4 separate regions of the Mus musculus genome follow, and regions 1, 2 and 4 are each reported to be linked to region 3. Evidence: microRNA targets listed by miRTarBase, many of them from high-throughput screens and not tested one by one. Region 3 holds a microRNA gene; each other region holds the end of a gene's coding sequence.

Region 1 (3,166 bases), not on the chromosome of region 3:
CACCATAAAATCCAATTTAATTAGGCTGTCTTCCCTACTTGATGCCAATTCCAAAGCTGGGTCTCTGTCTTTACATTGTGCTTGTACACTTTTTTTGTGCCCACTCACAGGCCAGATTGCGTGTGTCAGGTCTCTACCATATCGGTTCTGAGGACTGGACTCAGAGCATTAGGCTTGGTGACAAGCATATTTAACTGAGCCTTCTTGCTGGGTTTTTGGGGTTTTTTGTTTTGTTTTTTCAAGACAGAGTTTCTCTGTGTAGCCCTGGCTGTCCTGGAACTCATTCTGTAGACCAGGCTGGCCTTGAACTCAAATCAACCTGCCTCTGCCTCCCAAGTGCTGGGATTAAAGGCGAGCTCCACCACACCCTGCCCTTGCTGGGTTTCTGGAAACAGGGTCTCACTTCCCTTTCTCTTCAGAGTAAATAAGTCCTGCTGGACGGGGCACAGCCACCTTTCCAGCCTCTCAAGTGTGACTTTATTTTCCCCAAAGGCAGTTTAAACAAGATTCTTGAGGGTTAAGTGTACTTCAACATCGAGTTTTCAGCAACTGAAATCATGTTGGATACTAGGAACTCAACTCCAGTCAAGCTGTTTTTTTATTTGTCATGATCCTGTTCAACCATAACAATGATTTCCAAACACGTCTATGCCCAGGAAACTGGGGTTTTGGTGTTTTGTATGATTTGTGTGTATGCACACCATGCGGAGGTCAGAGCAGGCTGGGGTTGTCTTGGTCTGTAGAGCTCCACCTTACTGCCTTGAGACAGGATCGTTTTGCTTTTTAAGTGATCCAGGATGGCCTAGAACCCATGATCCTCCAGCTTCCATCTTCTGAGTACTGGGATTACATGTATGTGCCAGCATACTAAGCCTTCACAGTTGACTTTTATAAAAGACTACCTCTATTTAATACTGAATTATTGTAACAGAAAATAACTAAGCTACAAGGGTGACTCAGCAGTAGAGCACTTGCTTAATCCCTGGGATCAACAAAAGGAAAGGAAAACGACTAAATAAATGATTACCACTTGAGAAAAGCTACCAACTAAAGACATGAACAATATCACTGAATGCTATGCAGTATGATTATGGGAACACACAATGCTATGCCTAGGGGGGAAAAAGAATAGCAACTGGACAGTCAATTGCCTATTCCTATAGTTCCTATTTTCTACCTTTTTTCTCTGTGTAGCCCTGGCTGCCCTTAACTCTGTAGACCAGGCTCTCCTGCATCACCAGCACCCAGCATGATTTCTGTCTTTAGAGTGAATCAACTGTGAAATGACTGTAGAATCAATCTAAAAATGCTAGTGTTTCAGCTGGACACGCTGTACTCAGGGCCATCTATGCAGCGTGTGCCGTGTCTTCCCTGTGCTCTCAGGCATGGCCCAGAATCAAACTGATTGGAGACAGACTCTTCGAAGTTTGCCGTTTTCAGCTCCACTCAAGCTCCTGCCTTTGGAGCTTTTAACAGGCACTGAGCATCTCATTCTCTCGTGTGCATGTGTACACTTCCCCAGCCCCACGGCAAGGTTTTATTACTTAAGTAGTTTTACCTTTAGGGTCTCCACTTGGAGTTGGAATCCTCTGGGCAGCAAGAGGATTTGTAAAGTGACCTGCAATTCTTAAAGCCTCTCTAGGCATTTTCAACTCATTTAAAAAAGTATCCTGTGTATGTGCCCATGTAGAAGTTAAAGAACCACCCCAGAGCTGGCTCTTTCCTGACACTGTTTGCTTCCAGAGCTCAAACTCGGGTTATCCAACCTATCAGCAAATGTCACTGAGGCCTGCTCAATTTTTAAAAGAAACACCAAAATTAAATAATAAATAAAGTCCATGGAATTGAGGCTTGGTGAAGTCCTGATAAAGCACAGGATTCGCATACCCCATCTGCATGTGTAAGCAGAGGGCCATTGAGGCAGACTAGGTTACCTCAGCCTCCACAGGCACTTGCACATGCAGGTGTACAGATACATGAACAAGGGTACCCGAACATCTGCCTCACGATGGCTACAAAGACTTTAGAGTTCATTTCTTAGCCTGAAGAGTAAGAGTTAACAAGGAGAACACACCACCATACAGACCAGAAAACAGCAGTACTAAACTTGAGCAAGAATAAAAGGAAAATAAAATCTTTTAACTTAGAGAAAGGATGCCCCAATACTCACTAAAAAATCTCCTAAAAATGTAAACAAAGTTGGGTCTGGAGAAGAGAACTGGCTGCTGTTCTCTAGAGGGCCCAAGTTTGATTTCCAGCACCCTTTTCTGGCCTGCAAATATGTGGGGCAGGCATACATGTAGGTGAAAATGCCCACGTACATACAAAGGCAGAGCTATCTTCAGACTTACTGTAGAAAGACCGTACACCAAGCTATAGACCTTTATACATTCATAAGCACAAATTTTATTCCAAATAAATCATTCTATAATTACTGAAAGATGTTATTTGGTTTGGCCATGTATTTAATAAAGCATCTAAAAAACATAAAATGTTTTACAAATTAAGCTATACAAAATAACTTAATTAAAAGCTAGACTGATACAGTCTGTAAGATTCCTTTCAGAGCACTGTGTTTATAAATCACGTATGCTTTTTAAGTGGGTAAAAGAAAGGATGCTTTAGGGCTTCTTTGAGAGTAATTCTTTTGGCGGGATCATACTCCAACATTTTCCCAATGAGGTCAAAGAGAAGCTCATGTTCGGCATCCTGAGATAGCATAAACTCCTGAAACAGAAAGACAAACATTTCTTACTGCTGCACTTTCTTCTAACATAAAAACAGAAGGAACCATTTACAATCATGGGATGCCAGGTTACCAGGCCTCTCTTTTGGAGGTCGATGAAAATTTCTGAGGCCATCCTGGACTACATATTTTTATGTCCCTGAACAAGACCCCATCTCAAAAAGCAATTCAAAACCAGAAACAGAGACCTTCAGAGGGTGAAGGTCAGCAGACTGTAACAATCAGGATTCTCTATAGCCCAAAAGTGGTAGCATGCATGTCCTGGTTAAAGAGTATCCAAGGCCTACCTTCAGAGGTTTACAGCGCCGAGAAACATATCTGCCAGCAGAACTGTGTTCATCCCAATCTAATCGATCATGATGGAAATATCTGCGTTTCCTAAAACAGTTAAATGTTCACATTTACCATGCTGACTTCCCC
Region 2 (3,166 bases), not on the chromosome of region 3:
ATCCCTGATATTTTGTATACATAACCCCATATTCTATGTTTCCAGGAATTGAGAAAGCCCAGTTATGCAGAGATTTGTCAGAGAACGAGTAAAGACCCTTCTTCCTCCTCTCCATTGCAACCCCCAAAAGAACAAAAGCCAAGCACTGTCGCCTGTGGGAAGGAGGAGAAGCAGCTGTCTGAGCCTGTCGAGAGACACCGAGAGCCCCCTGCCCTTAAGTCCACGCCTGGAGTCCCCAAGGATCAGAGGAGGCAGCCTGGGCGCCGAGCCTCTCCTCCAGCTGCCGGGAAACGCCTGAGCAAGGAACAGAACACGCCTCCCAAGTCTCCTCAGTGAGAGCTGCGTGCCTGCGAGGGCTCTGGAAGAGCTGTACCCACCGTGAGAAGCTCTCCCACTCAGTACGGAATGAGCCGCTGGTTAGGAGCTTGCAGTGTCTGTGGGGCCCGTGGGATACCTGCAAGTTACTTCCTTCTGTGAGTCGGATATTCCCCCTCTTGGAAAAAAAAATGTATTTTTCAGGATTTAATTATATAATATAAACCTTATTTTAGGTTGGTGCTTAACTGGAGGTGATACAGAAGTCTGGTGTTTTCAGGATAGAAAATGTATTTATCCTAACAAATGGATATTTTTTATTAAGCCTCCACGTGGCTCTGAGTGCAAAGCTATAATGAGTTTTTCTAAATTAAGGGAACTCTGCTACTTCCTTTTTTTTTTTTTTTAATAGTTGGTCTACAAGTGCGCATTGGTAGGGTGTCCAGCAGATGGATGGGGGCTGATGGCAGGGGCAGGGGCAGCCTTGGCCTCACAGAGCAAGGGACTGGCATGTCAGGACACTGACAGACTGGCATAGGAGCTGTGTTTTCATCTAAACCCTTAGCAACAGGTAACTCTAGCTTTAAAACAAGATACAGATGTACATACAGTTCTTTTTTGATCTAGTGGGCAGAACCTGCAAAGAGCACCCTAGAAAGACCTGAAACCTTTGAGTTTTGATGTCCTGCGAGCAAGTAACCAGCCTCTCACTCCAGTTCCAAGTGGCTACTATGTAAAATAAATTCAAAGCACATTGTGAATAGAACCTAGATGGAATTAGAAACTGCTGCTGCCCACTGATGTCAGAAGTTGTACACGATGTGTGTCCCTGTGAGTGAGTGGCTACCTGGCTCTCATCCTCCATGCTCTCTCTGTGTCCCCCACACTCTGGAGAGTCGTGTCTTAGCCAGCTCTGTGTGGATGTCTTCTTGTCCCTCTGCATCAGCACGTGGATTTAGAAGTACCTAGCCGTGAGAGAGTGCTGTCGGTGGTCCCCTCTGGCTTGCGAGGACAGAGTCCTTGCTCTTTTACCTCCAGGACGAGGGTTTTCTTGATTGTTTCAGAAGCTGCACTTCTGAGGAGCGAGAGTGCAGTCAAGTTAGCAAGTTCATAATAAAGTTACAGATAAATTATTTTGTTTTAAAACGCCTAAGATTTTTCTTTAAGTATTCTAAGCAGCAGACATTAAACTATTTCCTGCTATATGTAACCATACAGCTTATTCCACAAAATGCTATTTAATGAGACTGAAGGTTGTTTTGGTTTCTTTTTTCTTTTTTTTTTTCTAAGGAAAAAAATTATTTCCATCCAATATTTAAAGACTTGAATTTTATTTAAACTTGAAAATGACTTTGCCTTAACTTTTGTATAAGACAGCTTAGAGCTCACGGAGACCTGCCCCTGGGTTGGCGGGAGTGGATCGGTTACTCAGTTGCCATGCGGATCTCCTGGTGTTGGTTTTGCTGAGAACGCATACTGTTGTACAAGAACTCCAGTGGTTTTTGTAACATACCTACAGATCTTCAACAGTTGATCTTTTTTCAGATTGTTGAAAAGTCCTGTAAATGCAAATAGTCGCTACTGTGTTAAATCTGTGCACTTGGGAGTGTGCTCTGCTTGTACAGTGTAAATAATCAGAACATATGAGAAAGGTACCCTACAGAGAAGAATCTGATAAAAATTATTGATATATTATAAATGTTGCTGTTGAGCTGATGTAGATAAACTAAATGTTGTGGTTTGAGTATTATTTTAATTTGTTAAGGTTTTTCTTTTTCCCCTTATACTGGTGTGTTGAACTGATTTTGCCTCTTTGCTGCAAAAGGGAAATGGAAAGTCTTATTGAAAGCCTTTGGATGTTTTCATACTCTTAAAAAGAATGTAAGTACATACTAATCATATGTGATATGTGAGGGTTTTGAAGGAGAGTATAGAGAGCAGAGACTGGCAGGATCTTCCAATGAAAGTAAAAAACAGAATGTGCTAATTAAAATTATACTCTGTTAAGTGATTTTTCCTGCCAGAGGCAAAGATGGCCTGATGCACGTGACCATTTCCTTCAGAGCAACTGTCATTCAGTTACATAGGAGTATACGCAGTGCTGATGTTTCAGACGCCTGTGAAAGGAACATAGGACGAATTTCCTTATAGATGTCAGATCACTGACAAAAAAAAAAAAAAAAAAAAAGAAAGAAAGAAAGAAGAAGAAGAAAACAGCTGGCCTCTTGAACCCACACTAGCAGATACTGTCTATCTGGAAAGGCGAGCCTGAGGCCTCAGGCCCTTCACATCACATCTTTGCTGGAAGAGGGGCCAAATTATGGTCAGCACCCCTTACCCCCAAGGGTGCTCTCACAGAGGAGCTTTGATTTTTAATGAGAAGTCCTTTCCCCAAGGCTGAGCATTGCAGCACGAAACCTGTGTGGCAGAGCCAAGCTGTAGGTGCTTGCTGTCTGCTGGCTGGAAGTGTACAGCTCAGTGGCCACACGCAAGGGCAGGTGGGCAGATGCACGAGGTGGGACACTGATTACTGCTTAGCCAGTGACAGCCTGGCATCAGGAACTAAAGCCTTGCTCAGATGTGATTTTTATAAGCACTCGTTTTTCAGGAAGCAAAGGTGATATGCCAAATAGCTGTATAATGTCAAAACAGAGACTTCCTGAACACTTTGAGGTTTTCCACTCAGAAAAAAAAGGAAGTTATCAAAATAGGAAGCTGTTGAGGGTGCATGCAGACTCTTGCTATGTCACATCCAGCAAGTGTGGTATGTGGCTTTCATAATCTATTTACGTTTACTCATTCCTTTCAGTATCTCAAGGTATAGAATCAGAGATACCACAGTCACAAGGAC
Region 3 (3,166 bases):
CACCCACAATGGGCTGGACTTTCTTCATCAAACTCTACTTTTAAAAATGCCTTATAGCCTGGTATTATGTCTTCTGCAGACATTTTTTGAATTGAGATTCACTCCTTTCAGATGACTTTAGCACATGTCAAGTTGACATAAAATAATCCTAGCCTGCACAAATTATTAATCAGGGAGTATTTGTCTCTGGAAATACATGGCCTATAAAAAAAATCTAGTAAAGAGACATGATCCAAATTCTCTACAAGTCAAATTGTAACTTACAAAGAATACATACACAGTATTCTCCTTGAAAATTGGCAAGTGATATTCATGTTAAGTGAAAATAGACACAAAGGTATCAACATATTCTTTTCCTGAGTTTTGTTTTCACAATCTTCTGTTAAATAAAGAAAGTAAGACCTCTCTCTCTCTCTCTTTCTCTCTCTCTCTCTGTGTGTGTGTGTGTGTGTGTGTGTGTGTGTGTGTGTGTGTGTGCGTGTGTGTGTGTGTGTGTTTGTGCATGTATGTGTGCGCATGTGTTTACAGGAGTGGGCTCAACAAATATGTCAAAGTGAATAAAGTTGTTTGCATTAATATGAGCTTGCCATGATTTTACTCTTCAGACCTGAGCATAATAAAGGGACAAGTCCCTGCCATATATCAATCTATGACATCAAAGACAAGTTGGATTCTTTTTTTTTTCCATTTTTTATTAGGTATTTAGCTCATTTACATTTCCAATGCTATACCAAAAGTCCCCCATATCCACCCACCCCCAATCCCCTGCCCACCCACTCCCCCATTTTGGCCCTGGTGTTCCCCTGTACTGGGGCATATAAAGTTTGCAAGTCCAATGGGCCTCTCTTTCCAGTGATGGCCGACTAGGCCATCTTTTGATATATATGCAGCTAGAGTCAAGAGCTCCGGGGTACTGGTTAGTTCATAATGTTGTTCCACCTATAGGGTTGCAGATCCCTTTAGCTCCTTGGCTACTTTCTCTAGCTCCTCCATTGGGAGCCCTATGATCCATCCATTAGCTGACTGTGAGCATCCACTTCTGTGTTTGCTAGGCCCCGGCATAGTCTCACAAGAGACAGCTACATCTGGGTCCTTTCAATAAAATCTTGCTAGTGTATGCAATGGTGTCAGCGTTTGGATGCTGATTATGGGGTGGATCCCTGGATATGGCAGTCTCTACATTGTCCATCCTTTCATCTCAGCTCCAAACTTTGTCTCTGTAACTCCTTCCATGGGTGTTTTGTTCCCAAATCTAAGGAGGGGCATAGTGTCCACACTGGGATTAAAGGAGTATATCAGCACTCCTGTCAAAAATTTTTAATTAAAAATAGATTGGTTGATTGCACATGGGTGTTTTCCTGCATTTTTGTATGTCTGTTCAGCACCTGCATGCCTGGCACATGTAGAGGATAGAAGAGAGCATGTGTCCCCTAAAACTGGAGTCAAAAATAATTGTGAGTTACTTTGAGTGCTGTAAGTTGAACAAAGGTCTTCTAGAAGAGCAGCCAATGCTTTAACTAATGAGTCATCTCTCCTGATCCAGATTTTATTTCATTTTTTATTATGCATATACTGTGGGAGCTTGTGTATGGATCTGTACACACAAATGCAGTGCTCTCATTAGCCAGAAGAGGGCACAAGAAACCCTAGAGCTCCAAGCTTAATGGCAGGATTGTAGAAAATATATAGATTAGTCTAATTTACACAATGAATTCCCATCCAGCCAGAGTTACATGGGTAGACCCTGTCTCAAACAAATAATTATGTATGCTGAACAACCTCCAAATTGACTAGAGTGAATACCTTAAATTGATTCAGTAGCTAAAAGGGTTTGTCAGGTCCATCTCTTTATTCTGCCCCAAAGGAAGAAACATAAGCAGTCCCGTTGACAATTTAGCTGGGCACTGGAGAGATGGATGGCTTTGTGGTTCAGAACATTGGCTGCTCTCTTCGAAGCACCTGGGTTCCATATCCTGTACTGACATCAGGTGGCTAAAACCATCTTTAACTCTACTTCAGAGAAACCAACATCCTCTTGATCATCTTGAAGCACCTGCATGCTGTAGTACACATACAAACACAAGCAAATACATACATGTATGCATAATATATACATGCAATATGCATACATGCACATGCACATGCACACATACATACATACATACATATTCTTTAAATTTAGCTCTAGGGCCTGGCATGGTGGGACATGCTGTTAATGCCACCTCTGTGAGACTGTGGCCAGGCAATTCTACATAGCAAGTTCCAGACTAGTCAGCTTCATAGTGATACCCTTTCTCAAAAACAAATCAATTAGCTTTTGCACATGCATGCACTTGAGAAATTGAAGTAGGAGGGTCAGGAGTTTGGGGTTCATCCAGGCCTACATGAGATCTCCACCAAAAAACAAAATCACTTTAGCCAAAATGATTAAATTGTGAGGTGTGCAACAGTATATATGACACACAAAGATGCATGAGCTTATGTACAGGAAGAGAGCAGAAAGGACACTGAGTGGCCTGCTCTATCATTCTCTGCTTTTTCCCCAGGCAGGATCTCTCACTGTACTTAGAATGGGGCCCCAGTGTTCTTCTGTTTCTGTTCAATAGCACTGGGGATATTGGGCAGCACATACTTTTTCATGTGGGTGTTGGGAAGCTGGACACAAGTCCCTAGCTTGTGCAACAAGTGCTCTTACCCACTGAGCCACCAGGAAATATGTAGTAGATTTTTTTTTAAATTTAATATCAAAGCGAAAAAGTCTGCATGATTAAAACTAAAGCCCTCGTAGCATGGTGGTATATATCTCAGCTGAAGACAGAAGAAAGACTGTAAAACTCGAGGCCAGCATGAGCTATCTAGTAAGTTCTAGACTACCCAGAACTACCTTGTAAAACTACATTGCAAAACACAAAGACAGTGAAATAATCCATTATCAAGTATTGCAGAGAAACCCAGCTTTCCAGCGTGGAAGTGGAAAGAGCCATCTGGGACAAAGTCTGCATAAAAAGACGACTGCACAAAACATGGGGAGCAGATTTTCTAGCTTGCTCTTGCTGCAGGGGGCCTTCCTAGAGGAAACCAATTGTTCCTTCTCCATGGAGAAACTCAGATCCATGAAAGTGGGGCAACGTGACTCTGTAATCTTATATTATCCATATTTCATGAT
Region 4 (3,166 bases), not on the chromosome of region 3:
GCCATGGGGGAGACTTTCAACGAGACACTGTCTGTGGAGTTGAAAGTGTATAACTTCACCTTGCACGGACACCATGACACCCTCAACACAGCCTACACTACCCTGGTGGGCTGTATCCTCAGTGTGGTTCTGGTCCTCATATACTTGTACCTCACCCCTTGCCGCTGCTGGTGTCGGGGTGTGGAGAAACCTTCCAGCCACCAAGGAGATAGCCTCAGCTCTTCTATGCTCAGTACCACACCCAACCACGACCCTATGGCTGGTGGGGACAAAGATGATGGTTTTGACCGGCGGGTGGCCTTCCTGGAACCTGCTGGACCCGGGCAGGGTCAAAATGGCAAACTCAAGCCAGGCAACACTCTGCCGGTGCCCGAAGCTACAGGCAAGGGCCAACGGAGGATGTCCGATCCAGAGTCGGTCAGCTCGGTCTTTTCTGATACACCCATTGTGGTGTGAGCAGCGTAGGCTGATGGGGAGGTTCTGCCCCAGGAGAGGTACCCCTGAGGGATATGACAGGGTGGAAGAGAGGGCTGGATGCCCAAGGGAGTGGGTTCCTCCTGACCACCAGGGAATCGGTCACAGGCGCCGGAGGAGGCAAGACCCCAGTGAGGGTGTGGATGCTGCGAGTTTCACCTATGGATATCCTCAGGCAGATGCCACACCCCTACCCAAAGCCTTGGCTATTCTCAGTGTGGGGGAGGGGGACAGGAACGAGGAAAGGGCGGAGGGGAGGAGCAAATTCCCTAAACTTTTTTGAGGTCATCCCTAGCTCCTTAAGAGAAAACCATTTGAAAAACAATGTTTTTTTTTTCTGTCTCTGCCCACCCACACCTGTGAGGTTGTGTGTGTTTGGGGGAGCCTCCACAGGAGCCATGCTGGGAAGCTGCAGTGTCTTCTCTGGTCGGGAAGTCACATTGATAGCTAGAGAACTGGAAACCTTTGGGAAATGAGTCAGGAAAAGGCTGAGACCTGGATCAATAACACTCCCTAAAGCTGCTGGGAGACTTCTCACTAGAGCCGTCTTCTTTCCCTGGGAGTCCTGAGTGGGTGGATCTCTGCAGGAGCCTGGCCTCTCGACTGTTAGTTATGGCAGCAATGTAGGACACTGTGTCTGTGCCTTGTCCTGGGGCAGGTGGCACAGATGGGTACAGAATGAATTAATAGGTCCCTGTCATAGCATACAACTTGTAGATAGGGCATAAATTCCAGGTAGGCTAATTCCCTGGCTGGGGGAAAGCTTTAATTAGTATTTGACTTCCAGTGTCTGTCTGTCAGGACAAGAGTCAGGGATACTGAGGAAAGAGCATTGTGATGGCTGCCACCACTGTGGCACAAGGGCTGCCACACTTGCTAGAAGAATGGGGAAACCAGCCTCTTTGATGTAGCAGCCAGCCAGACCTACCTGATTTTCCATGTATGCCATCCCTTCTGTCAACCTTCTAATCAGCTCAGGTGGGGTTCTGTACCTTCTATAGAAGGCTGCTCTGCAAAGGAGAAGTCGGAAAAGCCCAGTCCTGCTCTGTTAGAATAGGTCTGGAGATACACAGGACCTCACATTTATCTTCTCTGTGCTAACAAGGCTGCCTCACTCCTGCAGAGTGTGGGGGTTTTGTCATCTGAAGGGTTGGAACCTAGTGGTCTCTGTCCCAGAATGGCGATACAGAGTGTGGCTTAGAGTTCTGTGCTCCCCCACCAGACTGGAAGGCAGGTAGTCTTGTTACAGAGGCAGAAGGGGCACTACACTTTGAAAAGTCAGTCGGACATCAGGGCAGTTGTAGCTGTCAGAGCAGAGGCACTTAAAAACAAACCCAGCCTTAGCTTCCATCCAGGCTCGCAAAATGTTTTGGGTACAGATATGACTGTGCCCTGCATCCTGTGAGCATACTGCAGGCCCCAGAGGCAGCTGTTCTGAGCTTTGGAAGAGGGGTGGGCAGGGCAGAGGCGAATGTGTTCCCGTGTTGGTCTTTTCCGGTGTCTTTTCTTTCCCTTGTTTCCTGTGGTTGGAAGTCATCCAGGTCCTCCAGTTTCCTGACCTGCTTTTGGGATTCTTAAGGGGTGTTGTTTACCTATGGGTGAGGGCTGCCTAGTGTTAGGAGGGCCTGTCAGGCTGCTTATAAGGACTGGGGAAGAGAAACGAAAGTAAACATTGTCCCGTCTGCTCCTGGGATCTCAAGGCTGCTGTCCATCCTTTATTAGTAACCTAGTTTTGTCAAGAGAGAGGTGCAGCGATTCCCCTTAAGTAGTTGCATGCTCATAGGTATGCATGCTCATAGGTATGCATGCACGCCAGCACCTTGACCTCCACCAGGACAGTGAGTCTGCGGCCCTCTCTGATGCCACCATTTCTAGAACGGCCTCCACCCCCAGCGCACAACTTCTCACACACAGTTTTCTTGCACTGCAGGAGAGACAGTGACCATGCCAGGCTCCTCAAATGCACAATCTCTTGTACTTTTAATTTCTGAACATCCTGAACTTTTTTGCCCATATCTCCATGGAGCTGAACCACTTTTCTGCAGATGTGGAGTTAGGGGGACCACACGCTGGAGCCTTTGGGAGAAGGGGGGTGAGGTACTAGCTAGTTCATCAGACTCCTCTGAAACCCTCCTAAAAACCTACATTCTTGTAAGACAGGGGGCTAGGGCCAGAGTAATGAGGACTCCAAAGGATCCTGGCAGAGGCTAAGCAGCTCTGAGTTGTTCTTCCTGTGTCCTAATAGACAAGGGTTGGAGAGGAACCAGTTGTATTCCAAAGACTTCTGGGGACTTTGTCACCAGAGGTTGAAGAACCAGACCTCCACCCTCAAACTCCTCAGGGAATGAGAAAATCTTTTAGGTGGCAGAATCCTCTCCTGACACCATCGCGGGCTGTGAGACTCTTTAAAATGGAGGTCAAATGAAGTTTGCCTTCTGGAGCATTCTAGCTGAGCTCCCAAGGACCAGGAGGGTCATTTTCTTTTTAAGTCCTGCTCCACAGCCTAACTCTCCCTACTACATCCACTAACTTGGACCCCAGTTCAAGACACCTGCAGGACATGTCTGGATGCTCCACCAAAAACCATTTAACTGATTGGTCTCACCTTGATTTCAGTTCTTATAACCCAATGGTAGCTTTGTCCTTGTAGGTGTAGGTGGGGTGTATGTGTGTATCCATATTCCGCATATAT

What was found. Region 3 holds the annotated microRNA mmu-miR-297a-5p (AUGUAUGUGUGCAUGUGCAUGU, at 2,134-2,155, opposite strand). A microRNA usually pairs through its seed, bases 2 to 8, with sites in the 3' UTR of a target mRNA and lowers its output. Matches are read on the target gene's strand: a 7mer-m8 pairs with bases 2 to 8, a 7mer-A1 pairs with bases 2 to 7 and ends in A, and an 8mer does both.
Region 1: miRTarBase lists Clk1 as a target of mmu-miR-297a-5p. The part of its 3' UTR that is shown has no 7-base or 8-base seed match.
Region 2: miRTarBase lists Larp4b as a target of mmu-miR-297a-5p. Seed matches in the 3' UTR shown: 7mer-m8 at 919-925.
Region 4: miRTarBase lists Amigo1 as a target of mmu-miR-297a-5p. Seed matches in the 3' UTR shown: 7mer-A1 at 1,178-1,184.

What each region holds. Positions count from the first base shown.
Region 1 is chr1:58,409,614-58,412,779 of GRCm38, forward strand. Clk1 (CDC-like kinase 1) reads right to left here. Exons shown (of 13, transcript NM_001042634.2): 12 at 3,034-3,124; 13 at 2,375-2,727. The coding sequence ends at 2,584. Among named protein-coding and RNA genes, the nearest start is that of Clk1, 13 kb to the right of the region's middle.
Region 2 is chr13:9,170,607-9,173,772 of GRCm38, forward strand. Larp4b (La ribonucleoprotein domain family, member 4B) reads left to right here. Exons shown (of 18, transcript NM_172585.3): 18 at 46-3,166. The coding sequence ends at 336. Among named protein-coding and RNA genes, the nearest start is that of Larp4b, 78 kb to the left of the region's middle.
Region 3 is chr7:10,956,344-10,959,509 of GRCm38, forward strand. It overlaps Mir297-1 (microRNA 297-1), which reads right to left and starts at 2,169; the gene lies at 2,094-2,169.
Region 4 is chr3:108,188,210-108,191,375 of GRCm38, forward strand. Amigo1 (adhesion molecule with Ig like domain 1) reads left to right here. Exons shown (of 2, transcript NM_146137.3): 2 at 1-3,166. The coding sequence ends at 456. Among named protein-coding and RNA genes, the nearest start is that of Amigo1, 3.5 kb to the left of the region's middle.